Linked DNA regions of Elephas maximus indicus. The protein of the gene in region 1 interacts with the protein of each later gene in a pairwise test. Links are inferred from orthologs where the notes say so. Each region holds a gene or a part of one and is shown in the gene's direction. Other genes may lie near its edges. The genes, in order: MYL6B and SPA17.

Evidence for each region.
Region 2: the proteins of MYL6B (region 1) and SPA17 interact in binary tests that used the Homo sapiens proteins (3 or more experiments, as listed by UniProt). The two-hybrid records come from large-scale screens. The link is inferred for Elephas maximus indicus from reciprocal best matches to the Homo sapiens genes MYL6B and SPA17.

What each region holds. Positions count from the first base shown.
Region 1 is NC_064822.1:116,127,084-116,142,629, forward strand, and holds MYL6B (myosin light chain 6B), read left to right. Parts: upstream 1-7,327; 5' UTR 7,328-7,397; intron 7,398-8,600; exon of another isoform or gene 8,601-8,620; 5' UTR 8,621-8,666; coding exon 8,667-8,837; intron 8,838-9,577; coding exon 9,578-9,605; intron 9,606-9,827; coding exon 9,828-9,971; intron 9,972-10,203; coding exon 10,204-10,380; intron 10,381-10,886; coding exon 10,887-10,964; intron 10,965-11,120; coding exon 11,121-11,149; 3' UTR 11,150-11,158; intron 11,159-11,295; 3' UTR 11,296-11,400; downstream 11,401-15,546. Other genes in the region: MYL6 (myosin light polypeptide 6), read left to right, coding at 11,757-11,759, 12,016-12,043, 12,864-13,007, 13,239-13,412, 13,503-13,580, 13,882-13,910. UniProt on the Homo sapiens protein: Regulatory light chain of myosin. Does not bind calcium.
Region 2 is NC_064835.1:26,904,715-26,921,280, forward strand, and holds the start of SPA17 (sperm surface protein Sp17), read left to right. Parts: upstream 1-8,116; 5' UTR 8,117-8,163; intron 8,164-9,677; 5' UTR 9,678-9,704; coding exon 9,705-9,858; intron 9,859-16,566. Other genes in the region: SIAE (sialate O-acetylesterase), read right to left, coding at 3,589-3,750, 7,835-7,901. UniProt on the Homo sapiens protein: Sperm surface zona pellucida binding protein. Helps to bind spermatozoa to the zona pellucida with high affinity. Might function in binding zona pellucida and carbohydrates.

The sequences.
Region 1 (15,546 bases):
CTTATCTAGGGACTGGTCCCTTCTGATAACATCTCCAAAGTATGTGAGACATAGTCTCACCATTCTTGCTTCTAAGAAGCATTCTGGTTGCACTTTTTCCAAGACAGATTTGTTTGTTCTTTTGGCAGTCCATTGTATATTCAATATTCTTTGCCAACACCACAATTCAAAGATATTAATTCTTCTTTTGGTCTTCCTTATTTATTGCCCAGCGTTCGCATGCATATGAGGCAATTGAAAACACCACAGCTTGGGTCAGGCGCACCTTAGTCCTTAAGGTGACATCCTTACTTTTTAATACCTTAAAGAGATCTCTTGCAGCTGATTTGCCCAATGCAATACGTCTTCTGATTCCTTGACTGCTGCTTCCATGGGTGTTGATTGTGGATCCAAGTAAAATTTTCCCTGGACAGAATGATTTGTTCAAGTGTGGATAACCATATCACCTAAGTTGATCCAGTCAGAGTGAAGTCCAGGAATTGATTCCAATGGTCAAGGAAAGCTCCCTCTCTTCCTCTTGTGGTGTGAGGATATGATACCTGGAACTGTAGCCGCCAAGCCATGTCTGGCTACAGGAAGGGTGCCAAGGAAGAAGATAACACATGAAGGAGGGCAATAGCAAGAGAATTACAGAGAAAGGGTCCCTTTGTTATATCATGAACCTCTGGATCAAACTGAACTTAAAGCCCACTCTACCTCTTGTCTTTAACTACATAAGCCCATAAATCCCCTTTATCAAATTTTATTGTTTAGCCAGTTTTAATCAGATTTTTGATATCTGCAGTTGAAAGAATACTTAAGGACTTTCCCCACAAATCCAAAGATCTCCATCTCCACCTCCACTACCCTTTAAACTATCCACTCCCATGGCCACTCATCCTAGATGCTGTCTTCCTCTGTATTCTTTGAAATTTTAAAATCTCAAATGCACTATTTTTTCCCACTACAACTCTGAGATTTCCAACTGTATCACTTTTTCAACCTCAGTAAGAATTCAGCCCCTTAATGACTTCCCATATTCTCTCAATCCAATAGCCCCTCCTCTATATTCACTCCTCTTTTTGGCCTGGACCACAGCCCCCCTTTTACCCAGGCTCTCAGTTACCTCACTCTTGACTTAGGCATTAAAATTGGAGCCACTATTCCTTGTCCTTGAGTATAAAGAATATGACTCAGCTGGAGCTGGAGCTGGACTCGCAAGGACACATCATCTGGGCCCTGAAGTATAAAGACAATAGCTTGGACAATCTTGGAAAACACCTTTTAGGGAAACTTTCACATAAACAAAAGATCAGCATACTTTCCACTCTTTTTCTACCAGCATTTAGTAAATAGCAAGATTTGTTGGACCAATGAAGACCCTCCTGACTGTCCTTACTGATATTTGTAACAATGATTATTAAGAAAGACAATTCAAAATGTAGAATCATGGTCATTTACCAGTTTTTAGCCAGTCAGTAAAAAGGTAAAGCTTTTAATGATTTTACTCATTTGTAATGCCAATATATACTGACAATCTTGTAACATTCCTAGGACTCTGACAGACATGGCTCTGGCAGCATGCTTGTCCCTTATTCACTTTTGCCTCTTGGAGTATATGCCAAATAAAATTTTCCTTCTTGCTTTACTATAACTTCATGGTGATTTTACCCTAAACACTCTGGTGTTCATCCATCATCCCTATTGCACAAAACTCCAACCCAGCATCATTCTAGCTGTCTCTTTCCTCTGGCTCCACCATCCAAGCAGCTGAGAAATGCTAAAAGGAGAAAGAAATCAATGCCTTATAGATTGTGCTGTTACAAATTCATGACCACCTTCTGTGCTGCTCACCAAGTTCATGTGCTGAGCTCAGAGCAGGCACTCAGAAAACATTTGTGAAATGAGTACTTGTCAGTTGTCTCCTATCTTTTCACAGCACCTATTTCAAATCTTCACTGCTTTCTCCAGCTATCTCCTCTTACTTCCTCTCTTAGCAAATCAGATCACCTCACCTTCTACTTCAGGGTGCAAATAAGAGTCCAATCAATACATGGGGACTCTCTCAATCCCTTGAATCCCCAACATATTTCCCTGTCAACTTCCTAGTATCAGTGCTCACCCTTGACTCTTCCCTTTCGCCCAGATATCCATTCATTCTACAAATATTTAAGTGTCTCCTAAATGCCAGGCACTGTGCTCTGCTTGGCCCTGAGAATACAGTGGGGGTAGGGAGGGTATAAAAGACAGCAACAGCCTGAGCAGAGAGGACACAGGACACCGCTGAGGATCTGAAAGCTGGTAGGTGTGGCTGCTATAAAGGAAGCAAAGCAAGCAGTGTTTGAAATTGTGGTCATTTTTTTGACCACTGTAAAGATTTAATCCTTATCAAAAGGCACGGAAGGATTTTAAGTAGGGAATGACATGACCAGATGCATATTTTGAAAAGATCATTTCATTTATTAAAGCTGGTGGTTACCTGTTTGGTACATTATTCTCTTGTTTTGTAGTGGACAAAAAATACTTCAAACAGATTCCCAGGCCCTAACAAAGACCTGGAGTCAGATCTGTGGGGGAAGTATCTGGAAGTCTATCTGCTTACAAAGCTCCCAGGAGACTGTGGAGAACACTTAAGTCTGAGAACCACTGTTTCAGAACATTACCAAAATGAAACTACACTACTTACCACAACATTTATTATTCTGTTTATATCTTGCACGTAGTATGAATCTATAAAAATGGGGCTTGGACTTTATAAGCTACCCATGTATCATAAAACATCCTCATTATCTTCCTCTTTCTCTCCACTATGGGTTACCATGGAGCCCTGATAGCACAGTGGTTAAAAGCTTGGCTGCTAACCAAAAGGTCAGCAGTTCAAATCCACCAGCTGCTCCTTGGAAACCCTATGGGGCATTTTTCTCTGTCCTATAGACTTGCTATGAGTCTGAATCAACTTGATGGCAATGGGTTTTGTTTTATGGGCTACTTTTTTTTTTTAATTAATTTTTATTGTGCTTTTTTTAAGTGAAAGTTTACAAATCAAGTTAGTCTCTCATACAAAAATTTATGTACACCTTGCTAAACACCCCTAATTGCTCTCCCCTAATGAGACAGCAGCACACTCCCTCCCTCCACTCTCTCTCCTCGTGTCCATTCGGGCAGCTTTTGGCCCCCTCTGCCCTCTCATCTCCCCTCCAGACAGGAGATGCCAACACAATCTCATGTATCTACTTGATCCAAGAAGCCCGTTCTTCACCAGTAATGTTTTCCATCCCATATTCCAGTCTAATCCCTGTCTGAAGAGCTGGCCCCAGGAATGGTTCCTGTCTTGGGCTAACAAAAGGTCTGGGGACCATGACCTAAGTGATCCTTCTAGTCCCGGTCTGACCATTAAGCCTGGTCTTTTTAGGAGAATTTGAGGTCTGCATCCCACTGCTCTCCTGCTCCCTCAGGGGTTCTCCGTTATGTTGCCTGTCAGGGCGGTCATCGGTTGTGGCTGGGCACCATCTAGTTCTTCTGGTCTCAGGCTGATATAGTCTCTGGTTTATGTGGTCCTTTCTTTCTCTTAGGCTCATAGTTACTTTGTGTTTTTGGTGTTCTTTATTCTTTCTTGCTCCAGGTGGGTTAAGACCAATTGATGCATCTTAGATGAATGCTTTCTAGTGTTTAAGACCCCAGACACCACTCTCCAAAGTGGGATGCAGAATGTTTTCTTAATAGATTTTATTATGCCAATTGACTTAGATGTTCTCTGAAACCATGGTCCCCAAACCCCCGCCCCTGCTTCGCTGGACTTGGAAGGATTCAGTTTATTCAGGAAACTGCTTTGCTTTTGGTTTAGTCTAGTTGTATTGGCCTCTCCTGTATTGTGTTGTCTTTCCCTTCACCTAAAATAAAACTTATCTACTGTCTAATTAGTGATAACCCCTCTCCCTTCCTCCCTCCCTCCCCCACCCAACCATCAAAGAATATATTCTTCTGTTTAAACTATTTCTTCAGCTCGTATAATAGTGGTTTTATACAATATTTGTCCTTTTGCAATTGGCTAATTTCACTCAGCATGTCTTCCAGACTTCTCCATGTCGTGTAATGTTTCATGGATTCATCATTGTTCTTTATCGATTGGGCTACTTTTTGTTCAAAATGCCAAAGTGGACTGAAGACACTTTTCCCAACAAATTCTTTCCTATTTATTTCGGAAACAGTATCCTCTCTACCTAAACTATTATCCGTATTAACACATTAGCTAGTGTTTAAAGAGCCAATTAAGCTGTCTAGGGTGAACCCACAATTATTCAAGTTATTGAAGGGTTAAAAAAAAAAAAAGTTGCTGCATTTAATTCCAAAAGTTGTTCTACTAGGTTTTTAATGTTTCATTTTTCTTTTTCCTTTAGAGATGTGCCCCTTCTAATTTATTTTATGTTGTAGATTAATATTAGAATAAATATGCAATCCCTGAAAAGCCACAAGTCATGCTAGGTGGGGAGAAAGAACTGGTATTTGTCATGGAGAATCCACATACAAGATGTATAAATCACCTATCCCCAGTTAAGACTGTGTTCAGTCCAGTTCTTGTTTATGATTGAAAGACAGGGATGGCACAGAAAATGAAGAATAGTCCTTCAAACTGTTTTTGCCAAGCATTTTCTCTTTTCTTCTCACATTACTTCTCTATAAAGCAGACAAAAAAGAAATGCTAAAAAGTCAGCTGATGTCAAAATCGCTCATACTTAGCAAACTGTCAAAAGTGGACTCTAGCTAGGGGAGAAGAGAAGGAGAAAAATAAATCAGATAAACCACATCTTAGAAACAAATTTTCTGGAAGGGATGACAGGTACAAAAAGGCATCTGTAGTATGGCCCTTCCCCCAAGAATCTTGTAACCAAACCCGTCAGAGAAATGTACTCTTCTCCATCTTTCACACCTACTGATCCTTTGTCAATGTAAAATAAGGAAAATACTACCTACCTCCTATATTGGGAAAAATGAAATGACATTAATTTTACTTAACGAACACTTATATAGCACTTACTCTGTGCCAGGCCCATTCTATTTTACAAATATTAATACATCTAATCCTCCCAACAGCCCTATGAGGTAGATAATGATTATTATTTTACATATGGGGAAACTGAGGCACAGAGTGATAACAAACTTGCCAGAGGTTATCAGCAAGCATGTGGCAGAACCAGGATTCAAATGTGAGCAAGGTGGTCTGAGCCCATACACTTTAGCACCCCTTATGCTGTCTCTCTGAGATAATTTAGCCTCTTCATGCAGTACCTCATAGGTGGAGGCATTGAGGAATGACAGCTATTATCATCATTATCCTCATCACCGTTATTATTTTTCATTTCTCCTATATAATCCATTTCTACTCTTCCAGGAAGCTTTCTCCAACCAGTGAACTTCACTGCCCATAACGTTCATTTGTGCCTTGCCACCCCAACTTTGCGTGGGCTTTTTACCCTGATTCTCCGTGCACTCTTATGTAGCCCAGGCCTCCAGATAAACCACATCTTAGAAATGAACTTTTCTGGAAGGGATGACAGATACAAAAAGGCATCTGTGGTATGGCCCTTCCCCCAAGAGTCTTGTAACCAAACACTTAAGTGAAATGTTCTCCTCTCCATTTCTACACACCTACTGATCCTTCGTGGATGTAAAGTGAGGAAAATACTACTTACCTCCTATGTTGGGCAAAACTAATGGACGTTAATAAAGGAGTGCCTTCAGGGCATTTATTGACCCAGCAAGTAAAGGTGGGCCCTGGCCAGGCTGGTTCTCTCCCTCACCCAGCACAGAGGAGACCCATGATGAATGTCTGAGGAAATAAACTCCAATGCTGGGCAGAGGTGTCTAAAAGTGAGGGGCTGGAGGTTCCTGCCCTCTGTTCCATGGAGGCCTCTAGAGACCAGGCAGGTAGCGTAGGCAGCCACAGGGTGGAGAAGTCTCCACGTATAGAGACTGGACAACCTCTGGGGCAGCTGGCTGGGCTTTATTCCAAATCTGAACATCTACTTCAGCAGCCAGCTCATTTAAAAAAGAGAAATCATAGAATTTTGTGAGTAACTGCTTCAAGTCACCCAGCAACTCAATGGCCTGTTTTCTTTCCACCAAACCAGAGAGGAAGCTGAAGAGATCACAGCCACTCTCCCTGCCGCAGTGCTTCCTGATATTTGACCTCCATCCTGCCTGCTGCAGCTTCAGCACCGCCCCCCACCCCACCCCACCCTTCTGGATTTTGTCACCAATGGACCCAGAAAGTGCTTCAAGACTTCTTCACCTTTAGCAAAGCAAGGTCGTGTCATCTCCATATCACAGGTTGTTAATCAGTCTTCCTCCAATCCTAGTATCATCTGGTTTCTCAGATTATTTGCTCAGCATACAGATTGAATAAACATGGTAAAAGGATACAACCCTGATGCACACCTTTCCTGATTTTACACCATGAAGCTCCCCCTTACTATGTTACTTTTACTGCCTCTTGGTCTACGTAGTACAGGTTCCGCATGAGCACAATTAAGTGTTCTGGAATTCCCATGCAATGTTATCCATAATTTGTTATGATCCACACAGTCAGATGCGTTTGCGTAGTCAATAAAACACAGGTAAACATCTTTCTGGTATTCTCTGCTTTCAGCCAAGATCCATCTGACATCAGCAATGCTATCCTTCCTTCCATGTCCTCTTCTGAACTGGCTTGAAGTTCCCTGTCAATGTACTGCTGCAACTGTTTTTGAATTTTCAGCAAAATTTTACCTGTGTGTAATATTGACACTGTCTGATAATTTCCGCATTTCTTAGAAGCCAGGATGGCAAGACTTGTCTCACTTACTTTGGACATGCTGTCAGGAAGGAGCAATCCCTGGAAAAGACATCACGCTTGATAAAGTCATCGAAAAAGAGGAAGACCCTCAACAAGATGGACTGACACAGTGGCTTCAACCATGGGTTTAAACGTAGTTATGATTTTAAAGGTGGTGCAAGACCGGGCAGTGTTTCATTCTGTAGTACGCTGCGTCGCTTTAAGTCTGAACCGACTGCACTGCACCTAACAATAATAGACTCAGAAAAGATCTCGGCCCACATTAAATGGAAACTCACCAGGGCTAAGTAAGGGGGATATCCTAAGGGGCCCCACAGGGTTTTAGGGTCGGGGTGGGGGTTTTAAATTGCTCCTTGCCTTTCAGTTCCGGGACAAAAAGCGCGCTCAACAAACCCGACTTACGAACCACCGCCACAGCCGGAAGCCACCGCTTTAGCTTCCTCCTGGAGTCGGAGAGCATTTCCCGAGAGCCCGCGTCCGCTCGGGGACTACAGCTCCCGGCGTGCTCCGAGGCCGCCGGAATTAACCCTTCAGGGGCCGAAGCTGCATAGCGCCCCGCCCCCTCCCCTTACAGAGATCCCGCAGGGTGAGTTTTCGGGGGCTGGTTCGGGATTCTTAACTTAAGGCGCGATCTCTCTGTGCATGGTGCATATGTGTGTATGTGTGTATGTATATCTGTTTCGGGTGTACTCCCTGAGGAGAATGATTCCTGATTTTCTTATGGGACAATCTGCGGTTATGAGATTCAGACGCAGTTGTGAGATTCAGACGCATTTTTGCGAGTAGGAGACTGACCCCCAGTATCAACACTCTGAACCCTAGGCTCTAAGTGGAATCACTGCTATCTTTCCCAGAATGCTACCTAAATCCTCCCCTTCTTTACCCCCCAGAACAAAAAAAGTCTGCACCTCTCCCCTAATGGCCTTTCCTAGCGCCCCCAGCAAGACTTGAGACCTGGCGCTCGAGTCAGGGTTTTTATTACCCCCTTCTTTGGGGGTGAGTACTCATGGAGCCCATAGGATTTCTGATTAGAGAATTTAGGCTCTTTGCCTCCCCTTCAGATGCCACCCACGGTCCCTGCAGGTTTGGTAAGCACCCCATCCTTTGTCTGATGTGAATGACCATGGGCTTGAGAATGGGTGGTGGGTGTTAAACCTGACCTATTTCCCGACCCCTGGAACTACACCGCACAGGAGACAGTGGGGGAGGGGTGCCACTCTCCCCTTCCGTTGCTATTCTTTTTCTATATTGTGCACAGTCCAGTTCTGGGCTGGGCAGGTGGCCAGGAACTACAGTTGCTGAGGATTAGGTTGTGGGGTCAACTACCCTTGCTCCTCACCCATGGTCAGAGGAGGTGGAAGTGTTGCCTGTTTTTCACCTTTCGCTGCCCCCAGACCCAACTTTAATAAGGCCCCCTCCCTGCTTCAGCCTTCAAGAGTCTAAAGCTGCTAGAAAAAAGGGCTACCCTGAGTCAGGGGGCTGGAACGCGTGGATCTCCTTCTTTGCCTCACCTCTATCTCAATGGCACTGGCAAGCATCCTATCCTCACCCCGGACGTTAACTCCCCCATCATGAGCAGTCTCTGGCTTCCTCAGCCTGCCCCCAATGGGGACATTATTCCAGCCAGCATTTGGGAAGGGGTGGGCAGAGGGGGAAGACCTTGGGGCAGGAGGAGTCCTGAACCACAGGAAGCCAGGGGAGCAAGGGCAGACAGGCGTTTCTCCTCTACCTCACCCTCCACACTGCCAACTGGCTCCCTGCCCCTGCCCCCGCCCCTTGACATCCTAGCCTCCCTGGCTATTTAAACAGAGATGGGTGCCCCCATCGGCATACTGTCCTTTGGCTACCGGACATCATGCCTCCCAAGAAGGATGTTCCCGTGAAGAAACCAGCAGGGCCTTCTCCCCCAAAGCCTGCTGCCAAGCCAGCATCAGAGGCCCCTCCAGCCAAGGCCAAGGCTGAGCCAGCTGCCTCCCCGGCCCCTGAAAAACCCCAGGAGCCCCCCATCGATCTCTCCAAAGTGGTGGTGAGTACCCAGAAAGTGAGGGTAGAATTTGAAGAGGGTGGCACAAGGGTGGGATACAGCCTAGGGGCTTAGAAGGTGTCTAGAAGGTAGAGAATTGATGAGCACTGGGATGAGTTTGGCAGTTCCCCTTAGTTCCCTGTTTGGAAGCATCCAGGCGTAGGACTCTGCTGTTGTCTGTGCTGTTTTTCCCTCTAACATATAACATGTGTGTGTACAAACACACACACCTGTGCGCACATACACACACCTGCTGACTCTCCTGCTGGAGTCAGGAACTGTGAGATGGGGAACATCTGGGTCTGAGGATGGTTTTTTCAAGGTGAAGGGAAGGAGATGCTGCCTGCCCCTGGCTGGCTGTTCAACCCAAAAGCCAAAGCTCAACCCCAGGAGGGGAGGCTGAAGAGGACAGGCTTGTTAGACAATCACAGCTGGGGGCCAGGGGTAAATTTAGCCTTTGTTCAGCCCCCAGTTATGTGAAGGATGCAGGGCTCAGGGCAGTGGAGGGAGGGGAACAGGTGGCATGGGATTAACCCTGTTCCCAGGAAACCCTCCCCCCTATAATTCCTCCTCTTGGGATTCTCCCAAGGCCCAGAGCTGGGAATGGGACTGAGGTGGCTGGGCTCCCGGACTGGTCCCTTTGGGCCCCTCCTTAGAAGTGGCTGCCAGTTGGTTGGGAGGAGTGCTGGAGAGGGATTTAGTAACCTCTGTCATTCCTCCTCACCTGCTCTTTTCTTCCACAGATCGAGTTTAACAAGGACCAGCTGGAGGGTGAGGAGAAGCTGGTCCCCTAAGCCCACTACCCAGTCCCAAGCCCCTATTTGGATCCTCTTTCTCTTTCCCCAACTCCAGTCCTGACCTTGAAGCCCCTCACACTAGTTCTCTTTGTGTCCCTTTTTTCTGCCCAGTGCTAACCCATAGTTTCTGATCCTCCCTTCTGCCTGGGAATGGTGGGAACCCCTGGTCGACATTAACTCTTCCCTATAACCTCAGAGTTCAAGGAGGCCTTCGAGCTGTTTGACCGAGTTGGTGATGGTAAGATCCTGTACAGCCAGTGTGGGGACGTGATAAGGGCCCTGGGCCACAACCCCACCAACGCCGAGGTGCTCAGGATCCTGGGAAACCCCAAAAGTGATGGTGAGGGGACCCTTGGAACAATGTGGGCTTTCAGTTTGGTGGTGGGACCCAGGAATGTTGGTAGGACACAAAGGATGCTCAGATGCGTCTCAAGGCTACAAAAACCATCAAACACAGGGGCAGAAAAACATCCTGGGATGTTGAACAGAATGGAAACCTTTGTGGTAGGGATGGGAGCTGGGTCCTGGATGACACCACAGTGACCTCTCCCTCACCTCTTTCTAACCTCCAGAGCTGAAGTCCCGGCGTGTAGACTTTGAGACTTTCCTGCCCATGCTCCAGACAGCGGCCAAGAAACGGGACCAAGGCTCTTCTTACCAGGACTATTTGGAGGGGCTTCGGGTGTTGGACAAGGAGGGGAATGGCAAAGTCATGGGAGCAGAGCTCAGACAGGTCCTCACCACCCTGGGTAAGGCAGGGGCCAGAATTCCTGTGGGGTAGAGAGGAAGAAGTTTGGCCAGGTTGGCAGAGCCAGGGAGGGGGTTACTGTCCTTCAGGTCACCTGCTGGAGACTAGAAGGTAGAGCAGAGCAGAAATCTGAAGGACTTCCTCCTGCAGAGGCTCAAGTGAGAGGGGACACAAAGGGCAGAGGAAAGGGGACGAGAGGGTAAACATGAGTTTCCATTTTGGTAGAGATGCTTGTGCTCTATGATCTGTACAAGTCTCTTAGCCCGCTGCAATTCAGTTTCCCCATATGTCAAAGCTTTCACCAATACCAAGAGGCTTCGTTAATGAGGTGAAATGGAAAGCAAGATGCAGTAACACAGGCAAGGCATAACCATTACACGGAGAGGATTCCCTTGGGGGATCAGTTGCGTTGACTAAGTCTCCCAGGTTGAAGAAGAGGCGGTACCACCTAGAAGAGTAAGGCCTGGTTGGTGAGGGCGGGGCTAAAACGCTATGTCTGGGGTTCAGGAGAGAAGCTGACTGAAGAGGAGGTGGAGGCTATTCTGGCAGGACACGAGGACATCAATGGCTGCATCAACTATGAGGGTGAGGGGTCAGAGTCCCAGAAGGGACAAGGGGGAAGGGAGCGGGCCTCTTGCCATGTATGTGGGTGGGTGGGGTACGCTGGGACCTGGATTATCTAAGGTCAGTTGGAGTATCTAAGGGCCTGTTTCTGAAGCCCCTCTTGCTCCCTCTCTGCAGCCTTCCTGAAGCACATCCTAAGCGTCTGAGCGCTACAGGTAGGGGGCACCCTCCATCCTTGAGAGGCGAGTCTACTTCCCTTTCCTCAGCCACAGCCCAACAGCAGGGGACTGCATTTTCCTGTCCTGTTTCTGCACGAGTGCCAGGGCCTGGCAACTTTCATCTTTTTCCACAGATCCCGTGGGGCCGGACACTGCCCCCCGCCCCGCCTCCGCAGGCGGAAGCACGTTCCGGCCACTAGGAGGCCACCTATTGTTTTAAAATAAAGAAACGGTTCCTCCCTCGGCCTGACTGTTGTTTTCTTCAGAGGTAGGGGCGGGAAGGAAATGAGGGCTCTCTCTCTTCTCTCCAAATCTGATTCCCTCTGCTTTTTCGCTGCTCGGAAGAGCAGATCCGTTGTGACCCACCCAACTCCTGCGGTTCCTGAGTCCCAGGTGGGTCGACTCTGGGGGAAGGTTCAGCCGCGGGTCCCGCCCACCTTATTGCTAATGTAGCAATGTCCTTGCGTAAACCCAGGCCGGGTTCCTATTGGCTGGGGGCTCTGAGGATGACGTCAGGGGACGTACTAAGACTAGGGTTGGGCCTGGAGTCGGAGCCATTACTGCAGGAAAAGGTCCCGAAACCTGAGCGGCCAAGATGGTGGGACACAGGGCCTGGGAGAATGAGCGGGATTTGGGGCGAAAGGCGGGAAGCCCGGGTAGAGGGCGAGGGAGGGAGGGCAGGAAGTAGGGGGCAAAGGGAACCAGAGGGCCTGGACGGTAGGAGGGGGGTCGGAGAGTGGGATCCTGCTAGGAAGCGCGTCCTCAGCGAGGAACAGGAGTTTGTGCTGGTTTGTGGGATAGAAGCTGGGGGATTGGAGTTCAGATGCTGACCGCTCCCCCCCTTCTCTGAGCAGTGTGACTTCACTGAGGACCAGACCGCAGGTAAGCAATCTCTGGCCCTTATTGAGGTCACCTTTAAGGAGAGGGACACCCCTCCAACACCTGCCTTCTAACCCCCGACATGTCATCTCTTCAGCACCCCCCAGGACAGTATTCCTGGCTCCCCTTCTCGATCCTCCATTTTCTTTTCTCACTCTTTCTTCCTCCTTCCCCTTCCACTCTAGATCTGAGCCCCAAGCACTGGGTGAGTTTTAGGTGGTGTGGGTATGTGAAACGCTTGCCTGCTGTGTGTGGGGTTTGGGGTGTATTGAGCTGCCTGCGCTCCTTTAATCGGCTACTTCTGCCTCTTCTCTCTTCCTGTGGTAACTCCCCCTCTGCCCCAGCTGGGAATTGTGATGGTGGTAAAGAGCAGTGACCTGCTACTTCGTGGAGATGAGGGGGAGTTTGCTAAGGATCCAACTTTGTCTACCATTTCTGTACAGGAAGGGTGGGAAGTGGCAGGCTGGGATGACCCCAGTCCCAGGCTGCTGCTTCCACTTCCTTATAAGGACAGGACCCAGATGGGGCGGTGGCACATTCCTGCCCTGAACAGCGTAGTGGTGAGGAGGTTGGGCTGGGCGCCACTGGCAGAGGGATGTGTAAATGGATGCTACTACCACTGCCAACCGGGAGGAAGGCTGTATCTATGTGGGACACCTTAGTTGGGGGAGAGGGAAACTGGATCCCTCTTAGCAGGGTGTACAGTGGTACAGATATCTGGTTTCATCACAAAGATGTAAGTTGAATGTGTACAGTGTAACTTGGAGGTAGGGTTTGGGTTAACCCCTTCATCCCCAGTGCTGATATTCATCTGAATCCTCAGAGTTTAAGGAGGCCTTCCAGCTGTTTGACCGAACGGGTGATGGCAAGATCCTGTACAGCCAGTGTGGGGACGTGATGAGGGCCCTGGGCCAGAACCCCACCAACGCCGAGGTGCTCAAGGTCCTGGGGAACCCCAAAAGTGATGGTGAGAGCCCTTTAGAACTCAGTGTGGTGGTGGACTCACCGTTCTTCAGCTAAGTGCTTCCCTTTATCATCATAGGCCCCCAAACTGAAGCAAGTCTTGTCTCAACTAGCAGATCTCATGGGTCTCCCTTGCTTTGAGGGGGAGCTGTTGGTTCACCTGTAGTCTCAGTTCTGAGAACTCACGTGACTTCTCGGGCCTGACACTGCACCCCTTCTACCCACTTTACGGCAGAGATGAATGTGAAGGTGCTGGATTTTGAGCACTTCCTGCCCATGCTGCAGACTGTGGCCAAGAACAAGGACCAGGGCACATATGAAGACTATGTCGAAGGCCTTCGGGTGTTTGACAAGGAAGGGAATGGCACTGTTATGGGTGCTGAAATCCGGCATGTCCTTGTCACACTGGGTAAGGCTCTGTGCCCTTGCTACTTGAGCTGAGGTGCCATCCTGATACACCTGTCACCCAGTTCCAAAACTGCTTGCTTTCCCTCTGCAGGTGAGAAGATGACAGAAGAAGAAGTAGAGATGCTGGTGGCAGGGCATGAGGACAGCAATGGTTGTATCAACTATGAAGGTAAGGGGCCAATTGGGGCTCTTGTGGAGGAAGCAGCTATGTGGGACAGGTCAAGGACAAGCATGTGGGGCTTTCCCTGTCTCTGGACTTGGGCTCCAAAAGGAGCCAGGAGGCAAGGGGCAGGGCCCAGCCCAGCCCAGGAGTGGGAGGTCAGAATATGACAGGAAAGGGGTGATGTGGTATGAACGGTGGGGAAGGAATGGGAAGTAAAGTAAATGGAATGTCTAATCCCCCACCACCTGACCCCTTCACCCTATGTCTGTGTCTTGTCTTCACCATTAATGTCTCTTCCTTCCTGCAGCGTTTGTGAGGCATATCCTGTCGGGGTGACGGGCCCGTGGGGCGGGTACGGCTCCTCCCAGCCTCTCCTTCTCTAGTTGACCTTCCCAGTGTTTTTCTTCCCAACCTTTGCTCTCTAGCCCCTGCCCTTACCCTATACTACCATCTGACCTTCTCCTGGCATGCTTCTGCATGGAGCTGACTGGGGAAGGGAGGGGCTCCTCAAAGAGGAAGACAGCCTGGGGGTATGGTACCTCCTCTCCTAGAATGGGGGTCATGTACTCTGGGCTCTGAGATTTTGCTTTTAGGACCCTGGGTGCTGGTGTCTGGGAATTCTCACCAGCCTATACCAGTCTTGCTTTAGGGTGGTTGGCATAGGGGGGGTGGGTCGCCTGCCCATTCTGCTGCTAGAGCTGAATAGTCCTTTCCCCTTTCCTCTGCTGGGCAGCTTGGAGGTACCCTAACCCAAAACTCTGTCCTCTCTTGTGCCAGTGGCTGACAGTAGCTATAAGTGTAGTTGAGAACTTTTCTGCCTCTGCTGTGTTCTTGCTGCTCAGAGCGGGTAGGGGACTAACAGCTGGTGGGAGGGGAGCTAGGGGCAGAGAGAACTGGTCAGACTCAAGGTTGGTTGCTGCAGGCACCTTGCCTCTTAAGCTACCTTTGTGGTCTTGTAGTCTCCTGGCTCCTGGTGTGCCCCTCCCTTCAGCCCTGCCTCCTGGCTCACCCCACCTCTCCTTTCCACAGAGCTCGTCCGTATGGTGCTGAATGGCTGAGGGCAGCCCTTCCCGTGTCCCCAGAGCCCCGTGCCTTTCCCTCTGAGACTGTATCTAGCCCTAAAGGCCTCCTTGGGCTGTCACAGCACCTTTCCCATCTTGTCTCTCTTGGATAATTTGCCAGCAGCATTCACCAAATAAACTTGCTCTTCATACCCAGATTTGGTCCTGCTTTCCTTCCTGAGCAGGGTGAGGGGGAAAATGTGAGATGGTGATGATTTCTGCCCTGAGGCAGAGTATAGGGTCATGGACCTGGGGATGGAGAATGCTGGGGAAGGGCTTGTAGGAAACGTCTTGGCCTCACTTAAGAAATGCTGACCCCATTCATCTATGCTACAAAGGCTACCCCTTGGGGGCTAAGGAAAGCCGTAAATCCCTGTAGGACCAAAGCTAACCATCCTTGTTCCATCAAGTCGTGTCTTCTCCTAGCATTCCATCTCCTTAAACCTAGTCTCTGCCCTCCCAAGCACTGATGGCCTTTTGTGGGGAACTCTGGGAAGGGTTTATTGGAGCTAAAGCCAGGCCTATTAGCAGTGCCTGAGCCTGCCTGTCACCTCAGGAGGGCTGGGGGCCAATAACAACAGAAGTAGGTGAGATGCCTGCCTCCCCCTCTCCTAATAAGGGAAGGAATGAAGCAGCTACTTCTGAAAGGATAAAGACAGAATCTCCAGGTTGAAGGGATGTCCTCCCAGGTCTTAAACAGCTATTTCTAGGGCAGGTGAGAGCCTCTGCCCAGCCTCCTGCAGCAGTGCACAGTGCTCAACAACTGTGGTGCCTTTCGCCTTGTGTGGTTAGGGGCCCAGTATCTGTGGGCCTTGTGGCCTGCAGAGCGTCTCTGTCCAGATGAGTGCCCCTGTGAAGGGCTCATGGAATGCTGCCCCCATCCCAACCCCCCACTTGATGGCCACAGCTCA
Region 2 (16,566 bases), on another chromosome or scaffold:
CTACAGCCACAGGAAACACATTCTGCCAGCAATCTGAGGGAGCTTGGAAGCAGGCCCTTCCATAGTCGAGCCTCCAGGTGAGCACACAGCCTGCCCAACACCTTGATTCCAACCCTGTGATACCCTGAGCAGAGAGCCCACCTAAACCTTCACCAGACTTCAGACCTAGAGAACTGTGAGATAGTAAATGGGTGTTGTTTTAAGCCACTAAGTTTGTGGTAATTTGTTACACAGCATAGAAAACTAATATACATGCCATCACTCTAATAAGGGGGGTAGAAGGACTCTTAGGCTTTTTATATTTTTCTAAATTGGAGAAATTTTATCTACTTACATCAAGCATAACGACAAACATAGACAGACATACCTTATATTATTACCTACAGGCACATACTGCCACATATATTACCTATCCTATTCTCCCAACTTTATCCCTTATGTCTGAGAGGGCCATCATGCATCACTTAGCAACACAGTTTGAACAGAACCCATACCTGCCCATATTCCCATTCATTCCTGGGCTTTTAACTTTTCCATGTCTCAAATGTCAGTCTGCTGGGCAAAAGTCTCTATAAGTCCCCCTTTGTTCTGGGCACCTAGGGGATTATAGGCAATAAATTAAATATTAACAGAGGGAGAAAGGGTGGCAAATTGAGGTAGTCTGGCCGAAAATCCCAGAGTCCTCATCAAAATCCAAAGGAAAAATCAACCCTTCAGCATCCCCTGTAGTGTCTCCTTTGAGAGGCATTCTTTTCTACCCTGTGAAATTCCCTACATGTCTACATCCTTTATTCCAAATAATCCGTCATCCATTTTGTTTCACAGGTGGGATAGGTGGGACAGAGCAAGACACTCACTGAAGCAGGTTTGTAGAATGTCTTTCTTCTCTACCACGCCAACATGGAAAGCCTGACACACAGAACTACCCCGCCAACCCCTTTTCCTGTGAAATTACCATCAACTGTCCACGAATCACCTAATTCCCTCAAGCTACTACTGGTTACTTCAAATCACCCATGACTTTGCAATGAAGCAATCAGGGTATTACTTGAACCTGAACTGGTAAATGTGCAAGGACTGGCATTATCTGTGTCCTTTGTATTTCCCAGGGTTTCTAGCTCTGTGATTTTATACATTAGAAGCCTTCAATAAATGTTTATAGGCTTGAACTCAAAATCAGTGAGCAGAGTCACAATCACTGTAAAGGAAAAGGGAGGCTCATCCCTTAATTATTACCTTTTATTTCTGCTCGTCACCACTTACCCTCCTGCCCCATCTCTGCCCACCCCGAACGGTAGCCCTGGAACAGCCATAGGAGTGAGGTAGAGCGGAGGGGAGAGGAAGACTAAAAACAATGCAAACGAACATTTTTTTTAATTAAATGTTATATAAATTTATGTATTTTCCATATCATCCTCTACAGTAATTTGTAGTTTCTGCCTCCTAGATACTTATTGAAGCCCTGGTGACACAGTGGTTAAGAGCTCAGCTGCTAACCAAGAGCTTGGCAGTTCAAATCCACCAGGCGCTCCTTGGAAACCCTATGAGGCAGTTCTACTCTATCCTATAGGGTCACTATGAGTCGGAATTGACTCGATGGCAATGGGTTTGGGTTTTTTGTTTTGTTTTGGTTTGGGTTGGATATCAGTACTGTGTACCAACTGAACTAACTAGGCAATCCTTGTTTTCAGAGGCCAGCAAAATTTCCACAAGATTCCCCATCACATATGTATAGTCAAGTCATTGCTCAAACCTTGAATTCCAACACTAACTCTACCACCTCCCAGAGTAGCCTCCTCACCTGTCTCACCCTCACCTCAGGATGCTGCAGCTATGTAGATGCATCTGGTCTCCACCTGACCCAGCCCCAGCATGCTTTCCTGCACCAGTAACATCTAGCTTTGCCTCCTCCATACACTAACTCAAACGTCTTTGTCTCCCCTAGACAGAGATCCTTCTGTAGAACCTCCCTGCTCATCAAGGCTGCTCATTCTTTCTTGAACATCCTCACAGCCACCATCTTGGGTCAAGTCCTCGTAACCTGTACCTTGATAGCTTAACAGCCTGCCAATCAGTCTGTCCACTTCTAGATTTACCAGTCTCCAATCCAGAGTTCTGCTACCAGAGCGATCTTTTTAAATACAAATCTGATTGTGCTATTTTACTGCTTTGCTGCTTAAAATCCATCAATCCAGAACAAAGGATACACTCCTTAGCAAGGACAAACAAGTCTCCCTACCTTTCCAACATCATCTGTCATCCACCACCAGTCGCACAGCCCTGTGTTCCAACAAACCAACCTGTTTGCCATTTCTCCAATGACCCATGCTTGCTCATGCCTCCCTATCTTTGCCCAGTCTATTCTCTCTATCTGCTTCCCCCACTCATCTTTTAAGATAAGCCTTAGATTAAGTTAATTATCCCCACTAAGTGCTCCCAGAGCACCCTGTACTTCTCCATAGCGGCACCTATCATTTTGCTTATTGTTGCTTATTATTTTTCTATGTCCTCCCCTAACACATGAGCTTCACTGGGGAGAAATTATATCTTCTTTGTTCATCATTGTATTGCCTGTACCTAGCATAGTACATGGCATAGTAAACACTCAATATAATATTTGAGTGACTGATTAAACAGTAATAACAGCAGCCAATATTTATTCCATACTTATCATGTGCCAGGCACTGTTATGAGTACTTTACATATGTTAATTCATTTAATCCTCACAATAATTCTATTATCATTACTTCCACTTTACAAACAAACCATGGCACAGAGAGATTAAATAACATCTTCAAGGTTACATGGCCACTGAGTGACAGAGTCAGGACCTCAATCCAATGAACTCCATAGCCTAGGTTCAACCACTTCTACATATTGCCTCTTATTTATAAATGATTCCACTCAAATGTTACCGTCTGTGAAAACCTTTCATGACCACCCAATCCGAGTTAGATGTTTTCTTCGGTATCCCATGACAACCTATACACACTTTCATCATAGCTTTTATCACACTGCACTATATGTCATAAACCAAAACAAAAAATAAAAAAACAAACCCGTTGCCACAGAGTCCATTACGACTCATAGCAACCCTAGAGAATAGAGTACAACTGCCCCACAGAGTTTCCAAGGAGCAACCGGTGGATTCTAAATGCCGACCTTTTGGTTAGCAGCCAAGCTCTTTTACCATTGCACCACCAATGTCCACCTACTACCACTATTCCATGAGCTGCGTGAGGACAGGGACTCTGACTTAGTCTTATTTTTCTGTTTCAGTGCCTAACCAGTTGCCATCAAGTCAATTCCAACTCACGGCGCCCTTATGTGTATCAAAGTAGAACTGTCCAGGTTTTCAAAGGCTGAAGCAGTAGATCACCAGGCCTTTCTTCTGAGGCACCCCCAGGTGGATTCAGGCCTTCAACCTTTCAGTTAACAGTGAGGGTATTAACCTGTTTGCACCATCCAGAGACTCCACCCTCAGTGCCTATCACATGGTAAACACTCAAAGCATAAGCATTCATTTTTCTGATGATCCAGTAGGTGGCAGACAAAGACAATAGCTAAACAGGGGCCAGGCTGCCTTACCTTTCACACTGGTCACTTTCTTCATGATAGTCTCGTGGACTTGGCACACAGTCACTGACACTGTGGCTCCGGGTATGCCATAGCCCCAGATCACTGCCCCAGAAGGCTCCTTCTGCAGTACCATGTAATTATCGATGTATGAAGCAAAGCGAAAATCAACACCTAAAAAATGTAGCAAACACTTAGAAGGGCGTCATCAGGAAATTCATCACCAACTGATTTGGGTGAAACTGCAATGAGCAGAGAGTCTTTATACAAGAGAATCTGGATATACTCAGTCCTTTTAATCATCTAAAACTAGATCTTATTCCTCCTAATTAGGGAAGCAACATAACAAGAACAGGTTCCAACAATATGCATCATGGTACAAGATGACCAATAATGAAAACTCAAAGAATGTAGGGTAACCCATGCACCACAAACCCCCTTCCCTTCAGAGCTCTTGATCTTCCTTTCCTCTCAGGCTTGGCCCTAAATACTTGGCTCTCTCCCCCCAAATCACTAAAATGCTCCTTTTACGCATGCCACAGATGGTGTTTATAAGAAAAATAAAGCACTTCCTTCCCTGACTTTCCATTCCCACTCCCACTCCCACTCCTAATGGCTGGGGCTAAAGAAGCATGCCTCTCTCCAATACAACCTCTGATCTTTCTTTTCCCACTTTTTATCTCCCCCTCTCCAACCTACCAGTGTTAATTTCCCTCATATAATTCCCCTTGTTCTGGTTTTTTGACAATCCAGTGTACTGCACTAAAAATTGTAAATAAGCACTTACAAATGTGACAAGTATGCTTCCCTCTAAGGTAAATTCTGATGAACCAAGACACAAAAATAAGGTCAGAAAGAGATAAGTCAAAAAAACCCAACCAAAGATTGTTCGTCCCAACTTTGCCCGTTTTACAAGCAAAATTATACAAAAAGAGCAAGAGGAAGCACTGTGGGTTCTATTCTAGAGATTCACTAGCAAGACTGCATAAAAATTCGCTTTAATAAGACCGTTCCTATTTTTAACATCTAGCCTATACTGAATTATTTTATTATTAACAAGCACTGATCCAAATTATCTCAGTGAGTTCCTCATCAAAATTTAATAAGGAAAAAAATAAAGTTCCTTCTATTACATCCCCGTATATCTGAACAAAAGAAGACAAAATCCTTAGTAGAAAATAATTAACAAAATGAATATTTTTTAAATGAGTTTTAAATAAAAATAACAGACAGGAAAGAGCATATTAACAAGGTTGACATTTTCCTCCCTGAAAGCTACAAATGATGACGGCCCCGTAGGCTATACTTAACAAGGCAGACAGCTAATGAAGTCTCCTACACATACTCAGTCAGTGGCCTATTTATCCTGCTCTTTGAATATCAGCCCAGTCCCTAAAAATCTTCAGCTCTCTCTTATGAACTAGTTCCATAATGAAACCTACATGACAATCAAAGATCACCCAGAAGACCTACGGGGCTAGAGATGCACAGCTACCACGAGCAAATCTCTCCAAGAAGAGACTACAACACACAGGATTGCATAAGCGCGTTGGCAGCGTGCTGGGGGAAACAGAGAGGCACATGTGTGGGAGGGCCTCGTCTTGGGTAGGTGCTATGGAACAAAAAACGAAAGCCAAAGGCATAAGGGCTAAGTAGGGTGAGAGTGGTGGAAAGGAGTGAGGAAAACTGGCTAGCAGTTGTATGAGCCTAGAGTCCACGCAAAGGAAGGGCTCTAGCCGTGTGCAGCCAGCGGTCCACAGTCTGGGGGAAACGCCTCTCCAAGTCACTGTTACAGCCAACAGACACATCCTGAACCTCTTTATGCATTCCTCCATTCTAGCATAAAGGATATTAGAGATGCCACAGATCTTTCACCCTCTAGGGTATAATCTTCATTACCTACTGATCAAGAGACTGAAACCCAAGAACCTTAAGCATTTTTTTTAAAAATAGCTATCATATCTTAAGAGGTCGGCTGCTAACCAAAAAAGTCGGCAGTTCGAATCTACCAGCCACTCCTTGGAAACCCTGTGGGGCAGTTCTGCTTTGTCCTATGGGGTCTCTACGAGTCGGAATCCACTTGACGGCAACAAGTTTGGTTTTGGTTTTATCACATTCGTTAATTAATTCAACAAATATTTACTGATGCGGACTTTATGCCACACATGATTTTAAGCACTGGAGATTTAACAATGAGAAAGGATGGGGGAATGAAAAAAAAAAGACAAAAATCCTTGCCGGCAGGAATCTTACATTCTACTGAGAAGCTCACAAGTAGCAGATACAGTGCTAGACACATTATTGTTGTTGTGATCCATAGGCTTTTCATTCACTGACTTTCAGGAGTAGATTGTCAGGCCTTTCTTCCTAGTCCATCTTCATCTGGAAGCTCTACTGAAACCGATTCAGCATCAGAGCAACACGTAAGCCTCCAGCCGGTAGCTGCACAGGAGGTGCATTGACCAGGCATTGAACCCAGGTCTCCTGCATGGAAGGTGAGAATTCTACCACTGAACCAGTTTTACAGACATTAAACTTATTCGACTGGTCTAAAATCACATAGGCAGTTAGTGATAGAGCTAGAAACCAAGCCACCTGATTCCCACTCTGCCAGCTATTGATGGTAAATCAAACAAAAGTCATACTCCCTGTCCTTGTAAAGCTCAAATTCCAAGCTAGCAACTGTATACAGTGGAACATTACCAAGGAATTGAGCAATGAACAGAAACAGAAGACTGGAAAGTGGGGGCAGACCTAGTAATTGCTTTTGTCAAACACAAGACACGTTTAACATTTGAATTTTTTTTTTAGGTCTCGGATTTTTTCATTTGGGGATTGGAGAAGAAAAACAGGATTAGTGTTGTGGCGAAAGAGATCATCATTAAAAGTGGGCTTACGCAATTAGGACAGTGCTTACCTCTGGTGAGGAGCTGGTGGGTAGGCTTGCAGGGGAACATACAGGGAGCCTCAATAATGCTGGCAATGTCCTAGTGCCTAAGTTGGGTGGTATGTTCATTTTGTTGTTTTATTGTCACACATACTTTTGTATGTATCAAATATTATGTGATAAAAATGGGAGCAGGGAAAACAACTGAAGGAAAGATGTCAGTAGATGCAACCAAATAAGGCATTAATGAATGAGAAATACAGCCAACGTTAATGAAGATGATGTAACAATATGACCCAAAAGAGATTAAACACTGATGTTAACAACCTTTAACAGAAAAACTAATAAAATATGTCCCTACTCTTTTCATCTTCTCCCTACCTCATATAATGGACCCCAAAGGTCACGGCACAGGGAGATAAGCATCAGGGAACGAACACTGCAGTGTTGCTAGTCTGCACTCCCTGAAAAAAACACATACTGAGCTTCAGTCTGTCTGAATTGGGGTATTTCTGGGGGTTTCTAGGTAGAGCAGCAGTCATTTTTCTGCAATCCATTCTCCCAGCTCAACTTTCATTTCTTTGGGATCCACTCTTGCGGTGGTTTTGAAAAAAAAAAAAATAGGTCCATCATTATTACTGTACGCTAGCAGACAGATTCCCTCTTCTGGTTTCTCCATGCATGTAACCCACTTGCCCAGCCTGCCTATTGTGAGGACAGGGGTATGTATTCAAATGACAGGATCTGACCTAAACAATAGCCCAACGCCAGTCACCCTCCTCTCCAAAGTCACGCATATTATTCCACCACCGATATCTGTAACTGCACCAGAAATCACAGCAGAGCCTTAAATATTCTGAGCCAGTGAGAGGGTTGTTTCTTAGCCCTAATCACTACTTAAACTAGTAAAATTTAATTCCCCCAAGGAACCCAGCCTTAAGCAAACCTCCCCAAGGCACAACTGTGCGGGCAGCACTGAAATGTCTGGATAACTCAGTCACCTGTTTCCCAATAATATCTAACTAGCTTCTAACTAGCTAACTAGCTGCACCCCCTCCCCACCCAGCTCCCCTGCAGCTGCTCAAAGACCCTGAGGGCCTCAGTCTGGGTATATTTGAGCTTCCGCACTCAGACAAACCCAATTCTCCCTCTGCCCTCGACACACTCTGTCAGAAAGAAGGCATCCCACAATGGTGCAGGAAGCGTTAGGGCCGAAGCACCGACCCTAAGTCTGGGTCTGAGATCCCAGCTCCTGGCCCGGGTTCCTTTCCCGATCCCGAGAAGGGGGGCACCGGTAGGGGTCCTGCAGAGGACGCTGGATCTCGGGGCCGGCGCAGGCTGAGGGGCAGGGGTTCGGCCGGGAAGCCTCACCTGCACTTCTGCTGACCCACAAGATTAAAGGCATCATTAGCCCAAACACCAATCCTGGTGCGACCATGATGTATCACCAGCGCGCGGGACTCCGGAAGTGGGGGCTAGCTAGGGGCGCGGCCCGTGGGGGCGGGGCCGGAGCGGAGCAGGGTGGAGGAGGTGACTCCACCCCTCGCGTGCCCTTGAATCCGCGAAGCTGCCCGCGGCCTCAGGGCGAGGCGGTGCCTCTCACCCTCTCGGCCGCCGTAGTTGAAAAAGAAAAAAACGGTTACCCAGCAACGAGAAAAAACAACCGGAACCATCGGCACCAGCTCAGAGAGAAAGAAGAGGTGAGGCGGCTTCCCCACTTCCTCTCCAAAACCAGGACCTCGCCTTTTCCTTTCGTGTCTCGTGTTCTCTCAGGATCCCCGACATACGCCAGGAATACTGGTGCAGATTAGCCAAGGCAGCCTATTCTGCCCAAGTCCGCAATCCCAGGTCGTCCACATCCAGCCCCCGGCAAGACCAGGTCTTCCCTTCCGTCCGCCCTACACTCCCCAGGTCTGACCAGCCCTTCTTTTCACAGTCCTAGACTGATTCAATGCCTCATCTCCTGCCCCTCAAAAAAAAAGAAAGAAAAAACACTCCATGGATCCGGCCTCCGCTTTCATTCCGCATTGACAATCTCATGAACAGACCAGATCCCTACATGTTCTTTTCATAGTAGCCTAACCGGCTGCTTGGCAATTACCCTTAATCTAGCCCGTATATTCCAAGACAGGGAGAGAAGGCCTGGTCAAGACAAACCCAAAAAATAAAAGGCCCTGAAAACTTTGGAGACCAAAAAAAAAGCCCAGTGCCCTTGAGTCGATTAGGACTCATAGCAACCCTAGAGGACAGAGTAGAACTGCCCCAGGGTTTTTTGGAAACTAGGCTTTCAAAATCATGACCTTGCCTACTGCTCCACTTTGGAGTAAACAGCTGTTTAGAAGTCAGGCTTCATGAATGGAAGCTAAAGAAAAGATTAAGTGTGAAACGTCTTCATTCAACAAATTGGGGGAATTTCTAGAACCAGGACTAGTTCCAACTTTTTAAAAATGTTTTTTGTTTCGTTTGTTTGTTGTAGATATAACCACCTGCCTAATTTCCTAAACAGGGTCTTCTCAGCAACTTATAATGAATTCAGCAAAGCTAGGTTTTTAATCATGATTCTCTCTAAATTCCTGTAAGATAGCAAAAATTACCATCTCCTCCTAAGAACCAAAAGACAAAGGGATGGAGAGAAAAAATATTTACCGTTATAGTGAAAAAATTTGTGATTGTCCTAATTTTCTAAAGAAGTATTCAGCCTAATAAATGGGCCTGTATTTGTAATGTTCTAATTAATAATGGAAACCCCGGTGGTGTACTGGTTAAGAGGATGGCTGCTAACCAAAAGGTTGGCAGTTCAAATCCATCAGGTGCTCCTTGAAAACCCTATGAGGCAGTTCTACTCTATCCTATGGGGTCACCATGAGTTGGATTTTGGAAACCCTGGTGGCCTAGTGGTTAAGAGCTACAGCTGCTAACCAAAAGGTCGGCAGTTTGAATCCACCAGGCGCTCCTTGGAAACTCTATGGGGGCAGTTCTACTCTGTCCTATAGGGTCACTATGAGTTGGAATCGACTCAATGGCAATAGATTTTTAGGTTTTTAATTAATAATGGAGAAGTCAAAACTTTTTAAAATACATGTATGAACTCGTGTTGGAAAAAAAGAATTGAAGTCTACAAAATTTGGGTCTCAGAAATAATTGTTGTCATAGTTGTGATTACATAAATAAAATCATACATATTTAAAGACAGTGCTCTTTAATGAATCTCTAGGTACGATAGGCAGTTCCTTCCAAGGAGATGTCGATTCCATTCTCCAACACCCACTACCGAATTCCACAAGGATTTGGGAATCTTCTTGAAGGGCTGACACGCGAGATTCTGAGGGAGCAACCGGACAATATACCAGCTTTTGCAGCAGCATATTTTGAGAACCTTCTAGAGAAAAGAGAGAGTAAGCTTTTTAAAAATAGGCATCTTTTTTTCCAATAAGAGACTAAGCATTTGGTTATGGTGTAATTAAGACCATCCCCATTCCACAGAAAATCTTTTTGAGGCAGTTGACTTCAAATAACAGAATTTGAAACAGCATGTGCCTTTTTGACAAGTTGTCTTAAATAGGTTTCACATTATGGAAGGTTACTAGTTTATTACCCAGACCTTTTTCACTATATTTCTCGTGGACATACTGGGTGGAAGGGGACCGCAAAAGATCGTAGTCATCCATTTTTTAGCAGACTGGTGGCGTAGTGGTTAAGTGCTACAGCTGCTAACCAAAGGGTCAGCAGTTCGAATCCACCAGGCGCTCCTTGGAAACTCTATGGGGCAGTTCTACTCTGGCCTATAGGGTCGCTATGAGTCAGAATCGACTCAACGGCACCGGGTTTGGTTTTTTTTTTGTTTGTTTGTTTGTTCCCTACATCACCCAGACAGTTGGCTGTCTATCTTTCCTAGGAGGAGAGTTTGCAGTTTTCTTTAAAGGTTGATTTGCAAAAAATAATTCTACACTCTTTAGATTAAGATACATTGGTATTCATTGGGGGTGTATGAAACTGTTCTACAGTAAAGGTGCACAGACAAACTGCTTTCAAGGCAAGCTGCTTTGAGTGAACTTCATAGTATCGGAAGGTAATTTACACTCTTCCTTTATACTCTCAAGGTCCCATCCTGCCCAGAGTCTAAGATACATGCTAAAGTGACTCTTTGGTTGAAAGAGAAAAAACAAAGTTCCTTCACGTTCATAAATAAAATTTCTAAATCACCTGCCTTGAAGGTTCATGGTTATCAGGACCTGACCCAGTGTCGGGATGGGAATTATTATGGCCATAAGTTTATACAAAAAAACCTATTCTTGATTAGAACAATCTTTATGTTATCATCTCTTCTAGTCAAGAAAAACCTGTCATCATCATTACTTTTCACGATAGTGTTCCAACAGAGTGGTAAAGGTGACTAGACATATCCACGAGCAAATAAACATTCCATTTAAAATCATTATACAGAGGGAGGAAACTTAGCTTGAGGCTTGAATTCAAACAACTCCCATACACACTGCACAGCTCTAACCTCTAGCCTTTGCATTCTGCTAGCAGGGCTCAGAATCACTGCCAGTTTCCTGAACGTTGCTGGTCTTTTCCATATTCAGTCAGTGTGGATATTTATTGCACAGTTTGAAGCTTAAATGCCTGCCACTGCAAACACTTTGATAAATTATCTTTTTTCTGATCGGGGGAAGTCATTAGGAGAAATTTTTAGGGGTAAGAGGTAAATCGTAATGAGCATTAATTTAATTTTGTTATTATAACATTAATTTTATAATTAATGCAATAAAAAGTTATTAGTCATGTATTTAATTTTAGAACTCAGAAACATCCCATTACAAAAACATTCGAGTCATTATTACCGGATCACGGTGATTAAAGCAATTGGTGATTCAGATTAACGGCCCAGGATACTAGCTAATAAACAATGGGTAAAACTATTTGAAAAAAATTTAAGTACCACACCCATTTCCACCATGTCAACCAGACAGGAATTATCCAACTAATACAAAGCGTCAGAATTTAATCTCTACAAAAAGGGAACAAAAATCATTAAGGTCCTGTAACCCAATCTCCCACACAATACAAGAATTCTCATGCCAGCATTCCTCATAAGTGATGACCAGGCTTAACTCTGATTTGGGGGGCAGGAAACGTGTTGGTATACAGTATAAGTAGTAGGTCAAATCAGTAGGGAATAATGGACTTTTTAACAAATGATGTTGGGATAAAAATAGAAAAAGATAAATTGGATCAAGTCCTTAAACCATGTTGTTGCCATGAAGTCAATTCCAACTCACAGAAACCCCATGTGTGCAGAGTAGAACTGCACACCATGGGGTTTTCAAGGCTGTGACCCTGAAAGGAAGCATATCACCAGGCCTTACTTCTCAGGCATCTAAGGGTGGGTTTGAATAGCTAACCTTTCAGTTAGTAGACCAGCGCTTAACCATTTGCTTAACCTTCCACCCAATGGGTAACCATTTGCACTACCCAGGAACTCCTTACACCATGTATTACGGATTGAATTGTGCCCTGCAAAAATGTGTCACTTGGCTAGGCCATGATTCCCAGTATAGTGTGGTTGTCCTCCATTATGTGATCTGATGTCATTTCCTTATGTGTTGTAAATCCTAACCTCTATGATGTTAATGAGACAGGATTAGGAGCAGTTATGTTAATGAGGCAGGATTCAATCCACAGAATTAGGCTATATCCTGAATCAACCTTTTTTTTTAAGATATAAGAGAACTGAGAAGAGAGGAGGGGGACCTCCTACCACTAAGAAAGAAGAGTCAGAAGTGAGCACATCCTTTGGACCCAGAGTCCATGTGCTGAGAAGTTTCTAGACCAGAGGAAGATTGATGACAAGGATCTTCCCCCAGAACTGACAGAGAAAGCATTTTCTGGGAGCTGGCACCCTGAATTTGGACTTCTAGCCTCTTAGATTATGGGAGAATAAATCTGTTTGTTAAAGCCATCCATTTGTGGTATTTCTAGTATAGCAGCACTAGATAACTAAGACATAATTTGGTACCAAGAGTGGGGTGCTGCTCTAACAGATACCTACACTGTGGAAGCAGTTTTGAAACTGTGAATGGTTAGAGGCTTGAAGAGTTTTAAAGTGACTAATAGTAAAAGCCTGGTTTGCTTTGAAGAGACTGTTGGTGGAATTATGGTCATCAAAGACAACTCTGGTGAGGAGTCTGAAGAAGTGAGGAGAGCTGTAACACTGAAGATGGTGAAGACAGTGAGAAGCAGCAGCAGAGAAATAGCAGCAGCAGAACCAGAAGACCAGCACAAGACATCACGGGAGCCTACCCAGAGAGCAAGAGAGCTGAGTGTCTTTGTGCAGGAGGCTCCGTGCCACAGTGGGGTGTCTTCAGGCACTTAACAGTGGAAGTAAACTTGTCAAACCACAGAGCAAGAATGCTGAGTGCCTTCTGGCCGAAGTGTACTAGCAGAGTGGGGTTCCTCCAGGCGTTTTTCAGTGGAGCTACAGAGCTTTGGAACATTTGTCCCAGTAGGACAGACACGAGTGGTGAGGCCTGAAGGGACAAGAGGCCAAGGAACCATGAAGCAGATGCTGAAGAGACAAGGAACACAGGAAGCAGAGCTGCCTCAGTCTCAAACGGTAGGGCCACAACCTCTTGGGTTTCCAAGGGTAGAGCCATGGCCTTTGGGGTTTCAAAGGGTGGGCCCACAGCCTGCTAGCTTTCAAAGAGTAAGATCTTCACCAACTTGATTCCAGAGTGTGGGGCTACTTTCATGAGTGCCACAGGCATGGGCCAGGTCTGCTGCCCAAAGCCAAGAAGGCAGAGCTGCCATGCCCAAGGGGCAGAAGAATGGGGTCTGCAGGACAAGGGGGTGGAGTCACCACTCAGATGGACTAGAAGAATGGGGCTGCCCAAACGTGAGGGAGCAGAGTTGCCACCCCAGTGGGCCTGGAAGGCAGAGCTGAAGCCCAAGGCTAAAGGGCTTCCACCCAGAATCTGGAGAGTGTGACCAACACACAGAGTCTGGAGGGCAGGACCATTGCCTAAAAGGTCTGTGCCTGTTCCACCATTTTTACTTTGCAAGCAGATAACTTGTATTCTAAATATCACAGATGAACAGGAATTTTGCCCCAGGATGGAATTTGCACTTGGAGTTGACATAAGACTTCTAGGATAATATGATGGAGTGAATTTGTTTTACATGTGACAAGGACATGAATTTTAGGAGGCCAAAGGGTAGAAAATTGTGGATTGAATTGTGTCCCCAAAAAATGTGTGTCAACTTGGCTATGCCATGATTCCCAGTATTGTGTGGTTGTCTTCCATTATGTGATCTGACATAATTTTCCTACGTGTTGTAAACCCTAACCTCTATGATGTTAATGAGGCAGAATTCAGTCTACAGAATTAGTTGTATCTTGAGTCTATTTCTGTTGAGATATACAAGAGAGAATTGAGCAGAGAGGAGAGGTACCTCCTATCACCAAAAAAGAAGAGCCAGGAATGAGCATATCCTTTGGACCCAGGGTCCCTGAGATGAGAAGCTTCTAGACCAGGGGAAGATTGAAGACAAGGACCTTCCCCCAGAGCTGCCAGAGAGAAAGCATTCTCTGGGAGTTGGTGCCCTGAATTCAGACTTCTAGCCTTCAAGACTGTGAGAAAGAGCCCTGGTGGCACAATGATTAAGAGCTCAGCTGCTAACCAAAAAGCTGGCAGTTCAAATCCACCAGCTACTCTTTGGAAACCCTACTCTATCTAGTTCTATTCTGTCCTATAGGGTTGCTATGAGTCAGAACTGACTTGACGGCACATAACAACAACAGACTGAGAGAATAAATCTCTCTTTGTTAAAGCCATCCACTTGTGGCATTTTGTTATAGCAGCACTAGATAACAAAGAAACCATATAACGAAACAAAAAACCAAACCCATTGCCACGGAGTCAATTCCGACTCATAGCTACCCTATACAACAGGATAAATTCCAAGTTGATCTCAGATTTAAATATTAAAAAATGAAACCATGCAAATACTAGGAGAAAATGTAGGTAAATTTCTCTATAACTTAAGAAGAATCTTTGCTAGCTAAGATTCAAAGTTCCAGAAGCAATTAGGAAAAAGATTGATAAAACTGATAACATAAAAGTAAACTTTTACATGACAAAAATCACCATAAGGAAAATAAAATGACAAAGTGAGAAAAAAAAATATTGGCAGTTTATATCACAATAGGTTAATGTGATGGTTAATTTGCTTAGCAATCAGTCCAATGTCTGCCAAACCACTAAGAATCATAGCCTAGCCAAGTTGACACAGGAGGAGATATGCTACACTCCAAAAGAATTTCCTGAGTTCTCTAATATGTACAAACAGAAACCTGGGGAATATGTGTAAGAATGGCTATTAGGGTATGGGATAATGGTGCAAGAAACATAAAGTTGGATCAATCTGAGTTTATTGATATGCGCCCACTAAGCACAGATTCTTCATTCAGAGGTTCAGAAAGGATCTAATTGTTTATTTGGTTGGTTCAGTGAAGCATGGATAACAGGTGGCCTGCATTAAATCAAGTTGAAGTACAAGACCTGCCTTGGTATACTGCAGAAGAAGGAAATAGATTGAATATCTACTAAATATTTACTTCATCTGTATAAGCGGAAAAATTCTAGGTCAAGTGAACAGCGGTCTAACTTGAATTGTCATAATAGTCACCACCCCTCAATCAATTCCCAGACTTGAGCCAGTTTACAGACCCACAACCCCCTGAATGAAGGGGAGGCTGAGTCCCCTTGAGGAAGGACCCTACTACACTGCCAAAAATTTATACTGTTAATCTTTCTCCAAACTGCCCCATAGGGTTTCCAAGGAGCAGCCAGTGGATTCGAACTGCCAACCTTTTGGTTAACAGCCTGAGCTCTTAATCACTGTGCCACCAGCAGTGACTGTTAATTGGGGAAAGGAAATAATCAGACTTTTTGGGGATCACTGGATAATCTGAACTGACGCTAATTCCAGGAGACCCAAAACTTCACTGTGGTTCACCAGTCAGAGTTGGGGGCATATGGAGGTCAGGTTATTAATGGAGTCTTAGCTCAGGTTCGGCTCACGGTGGGTCTGGTGGGTCCCCGTTATGGATTGAATTGTGTCTCCCAAAAATGTGTGTCTACTTGGCTAAGCCATGATTACCAATATTGTGTGCTCGTCCACCATTTTCTGATCTGGTGTAATTTTCCTATGTGCTATAAATCCTAATCTCTGTCTATGGTTAATGAGTCAAGATTAGGTTATGTTAAAGAGGCTTAGGGTGGAAAGTAAAACCCTTTACTCAGGTCACAACCCTGATCCAGTGTGAGGGCAATTTCCCTGGGGTGTAGGCTGTATCACCTTATATCTTACAAGAGGTAAAAGGAGAGAGAACCGAGCGGAGACGGACTTCATTACCACCAAGCAAGAAGAACCAAGAGCACATGCATCCTTTGGACCCAAGGTCCCTGCAGTCAGAAGCTCCCAGACCAGAGGAAGATTGATGACAAAGATCTTCCCTCAGAGCTGACAGACAGAGAAAGCCTTCCCCTGGAGCTGGCACCCTGAATTTGGACTTCTAGTCTCCTAAATTGTGACAGCATAAACCTCTGTTTGTTAAAGCCATCCACTTGTGGTATTTCTGTTATAACAGCACTAGATAACTAAGACAGTCCCTGAACTCATCCTGTAGTGATTTCCCCAGTTCCAGAATGCATAATTGGAATGGGTATATTCGGCAATTGGAAGAACCCCCACACTAGGTCTCTGACAAGTGGAGTAAGGGCTATTATGGTAGGAAAAATCAAGTGGAAGCCATTAGAACTGCCCCTACCAAAGAAAATACTAAACTAAAAGCAATACTGCAACCCTGGGGGGATTGCAGAGATTACTGCCACCATCAAGGACTTAAAGGATGCAGGGATGGTGATTCCCACCACATTCTATTTGGCCTGTGCAAAAAACAGATGGATCTTGGAGAATGACAGTGGATTATCAAAAACCTAACCAGGTGGTGACTCCAATTGCAGCTCCTGTGCCAGATGTGGTTTCACTGATTAAGCAAATTAATATATTTCCTGGTACGTGAGTCAGGAGAAGCCCCC